Drosophila melanogaster: one gene and its partners. The protein of the gene in region 3 interacts with the protein of the main gene of each other region in a pairwise test. Each region holds a gene or a part of one and is shown on either strand. Other genes may lie near its edges.

The links.
Region 1: the proteins of Tbca (region 3) and Lnk interact in a two-hybrid assay, tested with the Drosophila melanogaster proteins (one large-scale study listed by BioGRID).
Region 2: the proteins of Tbca (region 3) and vari interact in a two-hybrid assay, tested with the Drosophila melanogaster proteins (one large-scale study listed by BioGRID).

The regions. Positions count from the first base shown.
Region 1 is NT_033777.3:25,886,941-25,890,698, reverse strand, and holds the start of Lnk (Lnk), read right to left. Parts: upstream 2,158-3,758; 5' UTR 1,808-2,157; exon of another isoform or gene 1,634-1,807; intron 1,045-1,633; 5' UTR 922-1,044; coding exon 421-921; intron 1-420. Other genes in the region: SppL (signal peptide peptidase-like), read right to left, coding at 3,333-3,401, 3,468-3,588, 3,680-3,758.
Region 2 is NT_033779.5:20,795,258-20,799,015, reverse strand, and holds the start of vari (varicose), read left to right. Parts: upstream 1-1,973; 5' UTR 1,974-2,257; coding exon 2,258-2,363; intron 2,364-2,881; coding exon 2,882-2,979; intron 2,980-3,758.
Region 3 is NT_033777.3:31,741,424-31,744,840, reverse strand, and holds Tbca (tubulin binding cofactor A), read right to left. Parts: upstream 1,352-3,417; 5' UTR 1,213-1,351; coding exon 1,004-1,212; intron 949-1,003; coding exon 825-948; 3' UTR 593-824; downstream 1-592. Other genes in the region: CG1896 (uncharacterized protein), read right to left, coding at 1-522; eEF1alpha2 (eukaryotic translation elongation factor 1 alpha 2), read right to left, coding at 2,572-2,931, 3,009-3,214.

The DNA of each region.
Region 1 (3,758 bases), 5.9 Mb from region 3:
GACAGTTAAAACAAGTGGTGACAATATAGCCGGAGTTTCCGACTATAAAACATCCTGGCACTGAAAAGCTTTTTAATCAATGTGAAATACTTCATGATCTGCAAAATTGAAAGAAAGACTTGCATAATTGACAGCATGTTCTGATAATCATGACGTATTCAACAAATCAAATAGAAGATAATAATACCACTTCAGTGAGGTCTAATCGGACTTATGGACAGAATGCAAAGAATGCTAAAGTGAATGCTTTTATCTGCATACTTTTAGTTCGTGATTCGTGACCTTCTTAATGGGTATTATCGGACAGAAAACAACAATCATGTCTAAAAAAAAAGTATAAGCATCAAGTGTGGCCTCGAAATAATCAAAAATCAATCTATTCAATGATTTCGAGAGGATTTGAGAAGAGCATCAACTCACCTTGCCCTTGCGCAGTCCTTTGAATGATAGTCGTCTTAATAGAGACTTTGAGAGCAGTTTTGGCACCTCGTGCTCCTCCTCGAAGTCCAGCGAGCCCGCACCTGATTTAAGAGTGCTCCTCCGCTTGAAGAACTCCGTGTCGTAGTGCGCCGAAAAGGATTCCACAAATTTCTGAGCAAAGCTGCGATGCTGGATGTTCCTCGCCTCCTCCGGCGGCAGATTGCCATTAATGTACGTGATGCACGCCTTGGCGAAATCCGAGGCAGCCACTCTGGCGTGTCGTTCGCAGAACTCCTCCCAACTGGTTCCACCGTATGCATACGAAGACACTCCCATGGCGTTGCCCGTGCCAATTGGTGCGGGTATCAGGTCACTTCCTGCTGCTGCTGCCGCTGCCGCCGATGAAGTTCCCAGGCTGTGATGACTGCTGGCCGACGTGGGCCCAATGTAACCGCCAGCGCTGAAGGCGCTCGTATTCGCTCCTGTGCTATTGCCACCCATTTGGCCAGGTGGTTGCCAGTTCCGCTGGTCCAGGTCCTCCTCCTGCTCCTGCTGCCGCTGCCTCTGCCGGTTCCGGTTCAGTTTGCCACACGAGTTACCCAGCTGGAGTCCGTTTCAAAAGCGCTGAAATGTTAGACAAACAATGCGATCGCGGTTTAGTCGAGTTACTTCGCAAAAACAGCGATCATTGCTGATCGCTTTGAAGAATACAAAAGCATTTATAGTTTAGTTGTTATATGTATTATATATTGGGCCGATGTGCAACGATCTATTTCTATTCTCTGACTCACAGGATTAAGGTTTTCAACGAGTTGGGGGAATTTTGGCAACTTTAATTCTAGAAAACTTGATAAGAATTAAGTGCTGACCAAAACAAAACAATAAAAAGTTAGCTTTGCTTGCTATTTAAACACAATATTGATTTTACAAGCCTGTTTATTGAGTTATTTAACAGCCTGACTTATTGATGGCGCAAAATGGTATATTTTCTTAAAACACGGGTATGCAATGTATATAATGATAAGCGCCCAGACTTAAGCACATATTTTTGTTCATAACAATGTACACTGAAGAATTTTGCATTTATGTAATGAATATTTACGCATGTTTGCACATTACATTAAGTAACACGCATTTTCAGTGCCACAATTAATCCTTTTTCTCGGCAATTAAAAGTAAACGAAAACAAACTTGCGGCGTAGCCCACACACACCCACTCACACAAATGCGAGGGCAGACACACACACCCACACAGCGGCGCGGTGGTGAAAAATTTCCCACAGGAATTTCCACGCCTACGTCACATCGCAATATGCGCGTGGAACACGCTTATAATATAATCAAAAATACTATTGAATTTGCCACTCGACACATGTAAATAACTCACTTTGCGGTTTAAGTATTATCTAAATGCTCGGCATCTTTTTTATGCTTTTATTTTTCTACACAAAGTGCATGATATCTCGCTCACACGCACACACACACAAACACACGCACATCCGCTCAAAATATTCTTTTGCGTTGTTTTGTTGTTGCGAGCAAAAGGAAGTGGCGAGTTAGTCAATAACTGAAGTGCACATACACTTGTTTGTTGTTAATTCGTAATCATTGGTTGCCAGTTCCGCTTGAGCTACCGTCTGGTTGCAATATTATTTATCACTGATTTGTTTGTGTTTTTTGCGATTTAAAACGAAAAAACCTCGACCGTGAAAATTAGAGCCGGACGAAAATCGATATGCATAGTATATATCTATCGATATTTGTTGTATCGATGTTCTTTCTGGAACGTAACCCCGCTAAATGGAGGTGTGTACTCGCTAACATGAATTTACCCGCTAAGTTGTGACCGCTCGCCACAGAAAACCCGATTACCGCAAGGTTGTAAACTTTGGTAAGCAAAATGGTGGGAAACTTAGGAATATTTTGGCGCCAACATTTAAATGTAAGGTTTCAAAAAAGATCTACCTACTACATTACAAAAAGCGTACATGCTTCCAATTTTTGTAAAAAACGCTTATAGGCAATGTTGTTTTAAATCTCACATTTTTATTGTTTCTATACGTTTCGAAATTGCATTTACTTAAAATTAATATGTAACTATCGTTTCCATATGCATACAGTATTTATTTATTTTTAGCTGCGTTAATAGTAAATAATTAAAATTCTTGAAACTTAATTTTGTGAAACACACGCAGTGCAACAGTTGTCGTCTAGCATTATTAATTGATTTATTGTTTGCAACGAACACATGCATTTTGGCAAAACATCATTATGGTTGTGAAGATGTGTGGGAAACATTGGGTGACAAAACGAAAAAATCGAAGGACGGAAATGAGCGTGTGAAACGGAAACGGATCTCGATTAAATGTGTATGAAGGCGAGCTTACTAACTATTATTTGTTGCATGGTGGTTTGTTATTATTACACATAACTTAAGTATTTACAGAACGTACTGCCCGGAACAGATTTCGAGTGGATGATGTATGATTGAAATTCGAATCTCAAACTGTCTTCTTGCTAGTCTTTTCGCTATGGTTTACAGAGTTATTAGTAATGCCTATTAGTTAGTAACTAATATTTCGCTTGACCTTTGTTCTACTCGCTAGTTATCTGCATGATTGGAGACATTAAAGCCAATTTGAATGAACTCTCGTATGAAGTATATATATATGTGAATATATAAAACCTTTCCGCTTAGGCTAAAAACTATAATTACTCGGTTTTTGCTTTTATTTCACTATGAAAACGAGGATCACCTAACTTAAAACGAAACTTAGTTAAGTTGAGTTAAAAAATACATACTCAATACGTTATTTAAGAGACAAACGTTAGTATTAGATCTTATGTGTGTGTGTTCTTCACATTGTATGCTGTTGGTTTTTTGTTTTTCTTTGCTTTTAGATAGAGTACACTCAGACTTCCAGTTGTTTTGATGGTTGTTGCGCGATAAACGGCTCGCTCCACATGCGCCGCAGGTCGCCCTGCAACAAGTAACAAAACATTACAGATATCGACCAAATTCGGAACTATTCGAGCATGGAGTATACCTTCAGATACGCCATCAGCAAGAGCGGCAATAACGTAAAGGGCACTAGATACAGCAGCGCCGGCTGGGCCGCCTTAAAGACCTCGGAGCTGACCGTCGCCGTTAGCAGGCCCAAGAAATAACTGCAATGTAATGGAAATTAGTATTTATATATATTTTTATAAGTAAGCAATTTTTCGTATACTCAAACATTCCATTTATTCAACAACTTACCCCAATAAGGAACAATGAAAGTATGTCAACCGGGAGCCAACTCCTCTGGGTGGTGACAATGTGGGATCCGATGTGACGC
Region 2 (3,758 bases), on a different chromosome or scaffold from region 3:
TTTGTTATATTGTTAAGGTGCAAATTTCAAATCCATATTTCTCCATGTATAAATATATATTTAAATTGCTCAATTCCCAGCTGAGTCTGCCAATAGGTTGAGTGTTATTTTATATCAAAGGGCATTCAATATAAAACAATTCAAAACGTATCTGGGCATTTATATATTTAAAAACTGCGTTTATTTATGAGGTTTATATAAAGAAACAGTTTAAGAATAGAAAAATGTAATAAACTTCTGTTACCATGCCGACCATTTGGCACTCATTTAACCACTGTGCCTCTAAAATCAAGGACTCTCGATGGCTGAGCTAAATTTTTTGCACATTTGCGGGTTTCTTGCGCACAATGGTCAAAGGGGCGCGAATCAAACGGGGGCCTTGACTTTTGCACTTTTGGCGAATTTTTTTTACAGCAGGACATACAGCAAATCGGACGGAGGATAAAACAAGAACCAAAAAGAAAGATACAAGGCACAAATACCGAAAGACAAGTAACTCACCACGACGGGGGGTGTCGCCGGAGGTGAAGGTGGATAAACAGGAATTTCTGCCTGTTCTGTTTTGATTTTTCGCTATCTCTCTCTTTCGCTCAGCTGCTTCTGCTTCTTCGGTTTGTTTATGTGTAATCCTTTTGTTTCTTTCGATTTTGGCGCGCAATTTTCCTTTTTTTTATTGCTATTGTTTTAGTTGTTGCTAATTACTAATTTGCAATGCAATTTTTCAAAACACGCGAAGCCGTTTTGTTGTGGCCGTTGTTATTGTTGCGTTGGCCGTGTGATTGCGGTTATAGTTGTCGTTGCGTTGTTGTTGGTTGTTGCTAGTTGCTGTTGTTGCTTTTGCAACTTTTTCACAATTTGCATTTCACGTATTTTTGCAGCAGCTTCGACGACTTTGACTTTGTTGCACAAACACAGGCGGAAAAACGGCCACACACTAACGAACTGAAAACAACAAAACAATCCGAGGAAGCTGCTGGCGTCTCTTTTCCTTCGATTTTTTCCCAAGATTGCCAATCCGATTTTACTGCCTGATTTAGTGTACTTTCGCGAATCTATAGTTATTTCCGCAGCCAGTCATTCAAAAACGAAAATGTAAACGAAACAGTGGGTTTACATTAATATATCATCACATAAATATGGGTTTTTTTGAATCCCAAAAGCATCTCGTGTTACTTAGCGCGACAAATCGGTTTCCGACGTATACTCGTTCGCTGAGATGTTATTCCACAGTGGTATTTAATTTGTTTTTACTCTTCATGCGAGGAAAGCACCGTACGCGCACGCTGCTCAAAACGGAATGAAAACAAGAGCTGTCGCATCGTTTCAGCCGAAAAATACCGAAGCATGCTGAAACTTCGAAAAATACCGCAAGCGAGAAACGATGTTTTTTCATCTATGGCAAGTCGACGTCTATTACCCTTTCGATTAATAGAAATAAAATATTGCATATTTATTGAAGTAACGAAGTTTGTTGCATCCCAGAGTTTTGTTAAGGCATAAATAAAGTTCCATAAGCAATTTAAAGACTATTTAATTAAATTGATTTCTAATTGGCATATGAACGAACATTTATTGGTCGTCCAGTTTAGAGTACATATTTATGTACAAATCGAAGTAAATTTTTTATAATATTAACGCACGGTTTATCAATGGCACAAACCATCAGCGATTCCCAAGCCATCCATTTTTAGCTATGTTATAGCTATAGAAAAAGCAATCACAAGCAAAATTAAAGATAATAAACAATATTAAATTTAAATGGCCTGAGAACAGTGGAATGCATTTTTATGACAGGCTTTCGAACTCCGTACATAAAGTACATTTACCGTACCGACCCAACAAAGAAGTGGCGCCGATAAGCACAATATTTAAAAACCGATAGGCACACGTTATTTGACTTTTTGTCTGCAAAAGCTTTCTCGTTTTAAGGAGCTTTGATTTTGGCATCACCTGCAACAAAAGCGGTTTTCAGTTTAGTTAGCCTCTTTCTCACAAACAAGTCGGTTGTTTTTGCGCTGTTGGAGGAGTGAAATTCTTAGCCGCGCTATTGTTTTTGTTGTTTGCGTGGCGTTGTGTTTATAACAATAACAACAAGTGATTATCACTGGAAGACATGTTCTGTTCAAGTAGCTAAGCATATGGCTGGCTAAGAAAAAAAACACAAGGGTTATAACCCTTTTTTGGCCGAAATACGAGACTGTCCTCCGGGGTTACTTCATTCGGTCTGTTATTTTGGCCACCTCCCAGTTCCTTCAAAATGGTTCGGTGGAGCGCGCGGTCGCGGCGCCAAGCTCGCCAGGATAAAGTGGAGCTATTGGCCAGAAACAACAAAGTGAATGGCGAGGACGATACCTCCGATAACGGTACGTGCCAGGGGTGTCCTCAAAAGGAGAATTTTAAGCGAAGTTCATACGAAATTCCAAACTATCATTTTATTGTTGTTTCTTTTTCCTTTAAGGCTCTGTTAATAAAGTTTTAATTTTGAAGATTTCAGTTGTTTAAATAGTTAAAAGATTTACAAACTAAATATTTCAATTCATATTCAAAAAGTGAAACGAGACAAGAGTTATGTTGCATTTCAGTAAGCCTGCTTGAAGTAAATATAATGATTTGTACTCATAGCTAAGAATAATCTGAAACCTGTTTGAAGATATGCGGTCTTTAAATGTATTTACAATAAATCGATAACAAAGAATATGATTATAAAACGAAAAATCAGATGCATGTATATCTAAATATTTCCCTCTAGAATTCCATCATTGTATGAATTGTATGAATTGAAAAGGGTAGCATTAAGCTGCCAAAACGAATGTCATTTCATCTGTTTCCGATTGTCATTTAACGACTGCGATTAATCTAAAACACTTTCGCTCCGTTTTAGCCGCCTTTCGCAACTCGACTGACCTATCCGACCACGATGAGATCTTCCTCAAGGGATTGCTGCGTAGTAACTCCAACACGCCCCACAAGGAACTGATGGCAAGTAGACCAGAACATATAAACGTAAAAAGGCGAGAGAAAATATCTCTGTACAATTTCTGACCCACTTAAACGCCTTCGAGCATCTGCTCAATAAGAAAATTGCGCATACGGTTTTCCACCCATTTTCCATACCCAGCCACACACACGCACACACTTTCCACATTTGTGTTTACTTCATCGATGGCATTGCATGCTGATTTTTCGGTCTAGATAGAATTTTCCGGGCTGCTTGTATGTGCGTGTGTTTGCTTTTCTTATTACATCATTTTCCTTGCCTCCACAAGCGCCAAAAAGAAAAGAAAATCCTTCTGTATTTTAAAAGATTTTCTCGCTTTAGCCATGCACTGCAATTGTTTTTTTTTTTTTTTTTGACTTCGTAATGGCCCATTAGCACTTGCTATTTTATTTTTGCCTTCCTCTTTTGAGTTTTCGCACTAAACTTGACCTCTATTGCCTCGGCAGATGAGTTGCCTTTATGCAGATGGGAGGCATTTTATTAGATCATCGTGACATAACCATTGAAGTGGAAATTATCTTGACCCGACACATTTAGCGCCTCCTCGAAGGTTTCTTACGGTAAAAGAACTGCCAAAAAGTTTGTAGCCTAATCAAATTGTAAATATTATTTGCTGTTCCTGCGGCAAACACGCAGGTCAACTAGAAAAACAATGAGAGGCAGTTACAACCAAAATTAAAACGAATTTGTTGTGCTCTGTATACAAGAAAAATAACAAAATATTTTAATTAATTTTTAAAAATTAATTTTCAAAATTGAA
Region 3 (3,417 bases):
GGACTCCTTGACATGGCCAGCTTGAGTCTCTTCTTGGACTCTGCGCCAAACAAGACGCATGTGGGTCAGTTTTTGGCAAAGGGCGGCTCTGTCTCCTCCACGAGACTCGCAAAGTTTCTCCAGAAGATCAAAGGTCTCCAAAATGGAGGCAGCATCGCGTTGTTTTCGCAGGGATATGTGCTTCGCTTGTTCCAGTGCGGTATTTCGGGGCGGTTCTATGGAGAACTTCTGTTCTGCAGCCTCAGATTTGACGGTTGCACGTATCACCCGATGTTGGCTTCGTCTATATAAGCGTCGCCGGCGTTTTCTTTGTTTTTGTTCGTCGACTACTTGTTGGCCCGGTACTTGGTCAAGTTCATCCAGCAGGGTTGCCGTGCTCCGCTGCAGCTCCTCCGCCCGGTGCACATCGAAATCGCGACCTGCTCCACAGCTCTGTTGCTCCAGTTGCCCCAAACTCGATATAACTTGCTGAATCTTGGCTTTAACTTCACTTAATCTATGCTTTTTGTGCGGCGGAGTCATCTTATTTTGGTTGTTGGTGTTGGTAAACGCCTGAAGGTGCACATTGGGGGTAGTTTTAAAATATTTAATTATAGATTATTATTTTTATTTAGCAAAAGTGAGGCGAACGCCACCAGCAACTAGGCGATTCCTTTTCAAAAAAATATAATGTTATTTTTTTAAAACAAACAAAGGGGAAGAGTATTAGCTCAGTATGTGTGGATTCAAGCCGCTCTGCAGCTCAGAGCTCGGAGATGGAATTGCCATCAGGAATTTGCATTAATGCTGACATTAGGGGCAGTGAATTAAGTTTTGGGGTGGTTCTAGGTCTCCAGTTCAGCTTTGGCATCTTTGAGGATCTCTGCTGCCTTCTTATACGAATCTGTCTCGATCAGGTCCTGCTCATCGGCGAGGTACTTTTCCAGTACCTCGTACTCCTTCTGCAGTCTGTGAAAGGAACGTCCCATTAGGCTTTTGAAGGGGGAAACGGAAGAATGCATACCTTCTCTTGGAGTCGGGCACCATCATGATGCACTCCTGGATGACCTCCTCCTGCTTGCGCAGTACGTGGTCGTCGGCTCCGTCGCCCCTGAGCTTCTCCAACCGCGCCTGCTCGGTCAGCACTTCCTTGGCGTAGCAGTACTTCTCCCTGGTCAACCGCCGGACCACTCCGGATTTAATCACCAGTTGCCGGATGCGGGGGTCTGTCATTTTTGTTGGGCTGCGTTCTACTGCGTTCGCCTATGAACTGAAGTTAGTGAAGCTCGACGGGGACTTCCTGGCATGAATCACAGTTAATTCGACTAAACTTCGAACAGCCGGCTGAGATTCGGAGTAGTTGGCAATGTAGTGCAGTCTTTGTTGTTTTTGTACAGAGCGCCCAGTGAGTCAGAGCCCAAACCAGGGCTGCCAACCTATCGGCGGAACGAGTAAAATGAACCACTCGGAACCGCCTTAATTTGAATTTCATTTTAAACTGATTTCATTTTCTTCATAGATATTCAAGTATTTTTCAATTAAAAGGCGTTCGTGTGTGGTATTTTACGGTTAAGCTTCCTTTATTTTTCTCATCATTTAAAAGATCTTTTATCAAGCAACATGTTCTGTATCCAAGAATTGTTCTGGTGTCGGTTACAATTGTCTTCGATTTGTATAAATTCAGAGTGTGAGATTAACGTGTATAATATGCAGGATGCAGGTTATTATGGGCAATGAGATGACATGTGGCTAACGTATATTATGTAATATGCAAATGCAAATGAGGCTCGATTAAACATTTATAATGTTTTCAAAAACCGCATGATTATGTGTGTAATGTTGATTTCTTTTTTGTAATACTTCTTAAGCATTTGTCTTTTGGTTTCAAGAGAAATTTTGAATTCATCGCGAATGTAGTCTTTTCGGTTCGGGGGATTTTTGGGAGCGCGGACGTGGTTTAAAACTAAATTCGGAAATTACATATTTCAATAGATTTTAAATCGAATGCCTCCGACTTGACTTATCAAAAGTATAAAAAGTGTTTAAAATCCATTCGAAACAGGTGGATGCGACCGGATGTGTGGCTGCTAATCAAGTGTAAGGTTAGTTGTAGAGATGAGTATATATCGAAGGGGCGGGCTACAGCAGTGCTCCGGAGGCCCCTATCCACTCTGCGGAGTGGCTAGCGGGTGGTTTCCTACGAAAGGACTTGCGGTGACGATACATGTTCAGATAGCTGCAGTAGACCACCACGGCGAAGGCGACCAAAACCGACCCGGCGAGCTGGAAGGGCTCCTCCTTCGCATCCTCGCTGCACCTGATGCTCCTCTCCTCGCTAATCGTACGTGTGGTTATTATATAGGGTATAATCTGCTCGATTTCGGTTAATATCTGCCGCTTCTCCCAGCAGCTAGTAATAGTAGTAATTGGTGTCTCTCTTGCCATGGAGTCAAGGTGTGATTTTGATCGTCGAGTGGGTATTATAATTTTGACATGTGTATTGTTGTTGTGTGTTGTTGCTGCTGTTGCTCTAGCCGTCTGTTTTTGTTGTTGTTGGGTTCGAGTGATGACGTTGTTCTGCTGGCACCCTAGTTATTTCTTCTTCTGTGCCTTCTCAGCGGCTTTTGTCACCTTGCCCGAGGTCGTCTCTTTAAAGTTCACCGACTTGATGACGCCCACGGCCACGGTCTGCCTCATGTCGCGCACAGCGAACCGTCCCAGCGGTGGGAACTCCTGGAAGCTCTCTACGCACAACGGCTTGCTGGGCACCAGCACAATGATGGCCGCATCCCCGGACTTGATAGCCTTCGGCTCCGTCTCGGTGGTCTTGCCCGTACGGCGGTCGCACTTCTCCTTGATCTCGGAAAACTTGCAGGCAATGTGCGCCGTGTGGCAATCCAAGACGGGAGTGTACCCATTGGCGATCTGGCCCGGATGGTTGAGCACAATCACCTGTGGGCAAAAAGAAAAAAAAAAACCAAACAAAGATGAGTTCAACTATCAAAGATTTCTCATCTTTGTTACCCTACCTGAGCGGTAAAGTCGGCTGCTCCCCTAGGAGGATTGTTCTTGGAATCGCCGGCCACATAGCCACGACGGAGCTCCTTCACGGACACGTTCTTCACGTTGAAGCCAACGTTGTCGCCGGGCATGGCTTCGGTGAGAGCCTCGTGGTGCATCTCCACAGACTTTACTTCGGTGACCAGGTTGACCGGCGCAAAGTTGACGACCATGCCTGAAACGAAACCGGAAACGAAGCGACCGAAACGAAGTTACATATCCGGACGTTATGTGTAGACATTTGGATGGGGGTGGGTGCATACAGAGAGAGAAACGTGGAGCGATATTATTCGAACTAACTCCAATTTATTTTTATTTGAATCAATAGCTCTACATATATTAATATGTTAGCTAGGGTTATTTTATTTTAATGGCCTT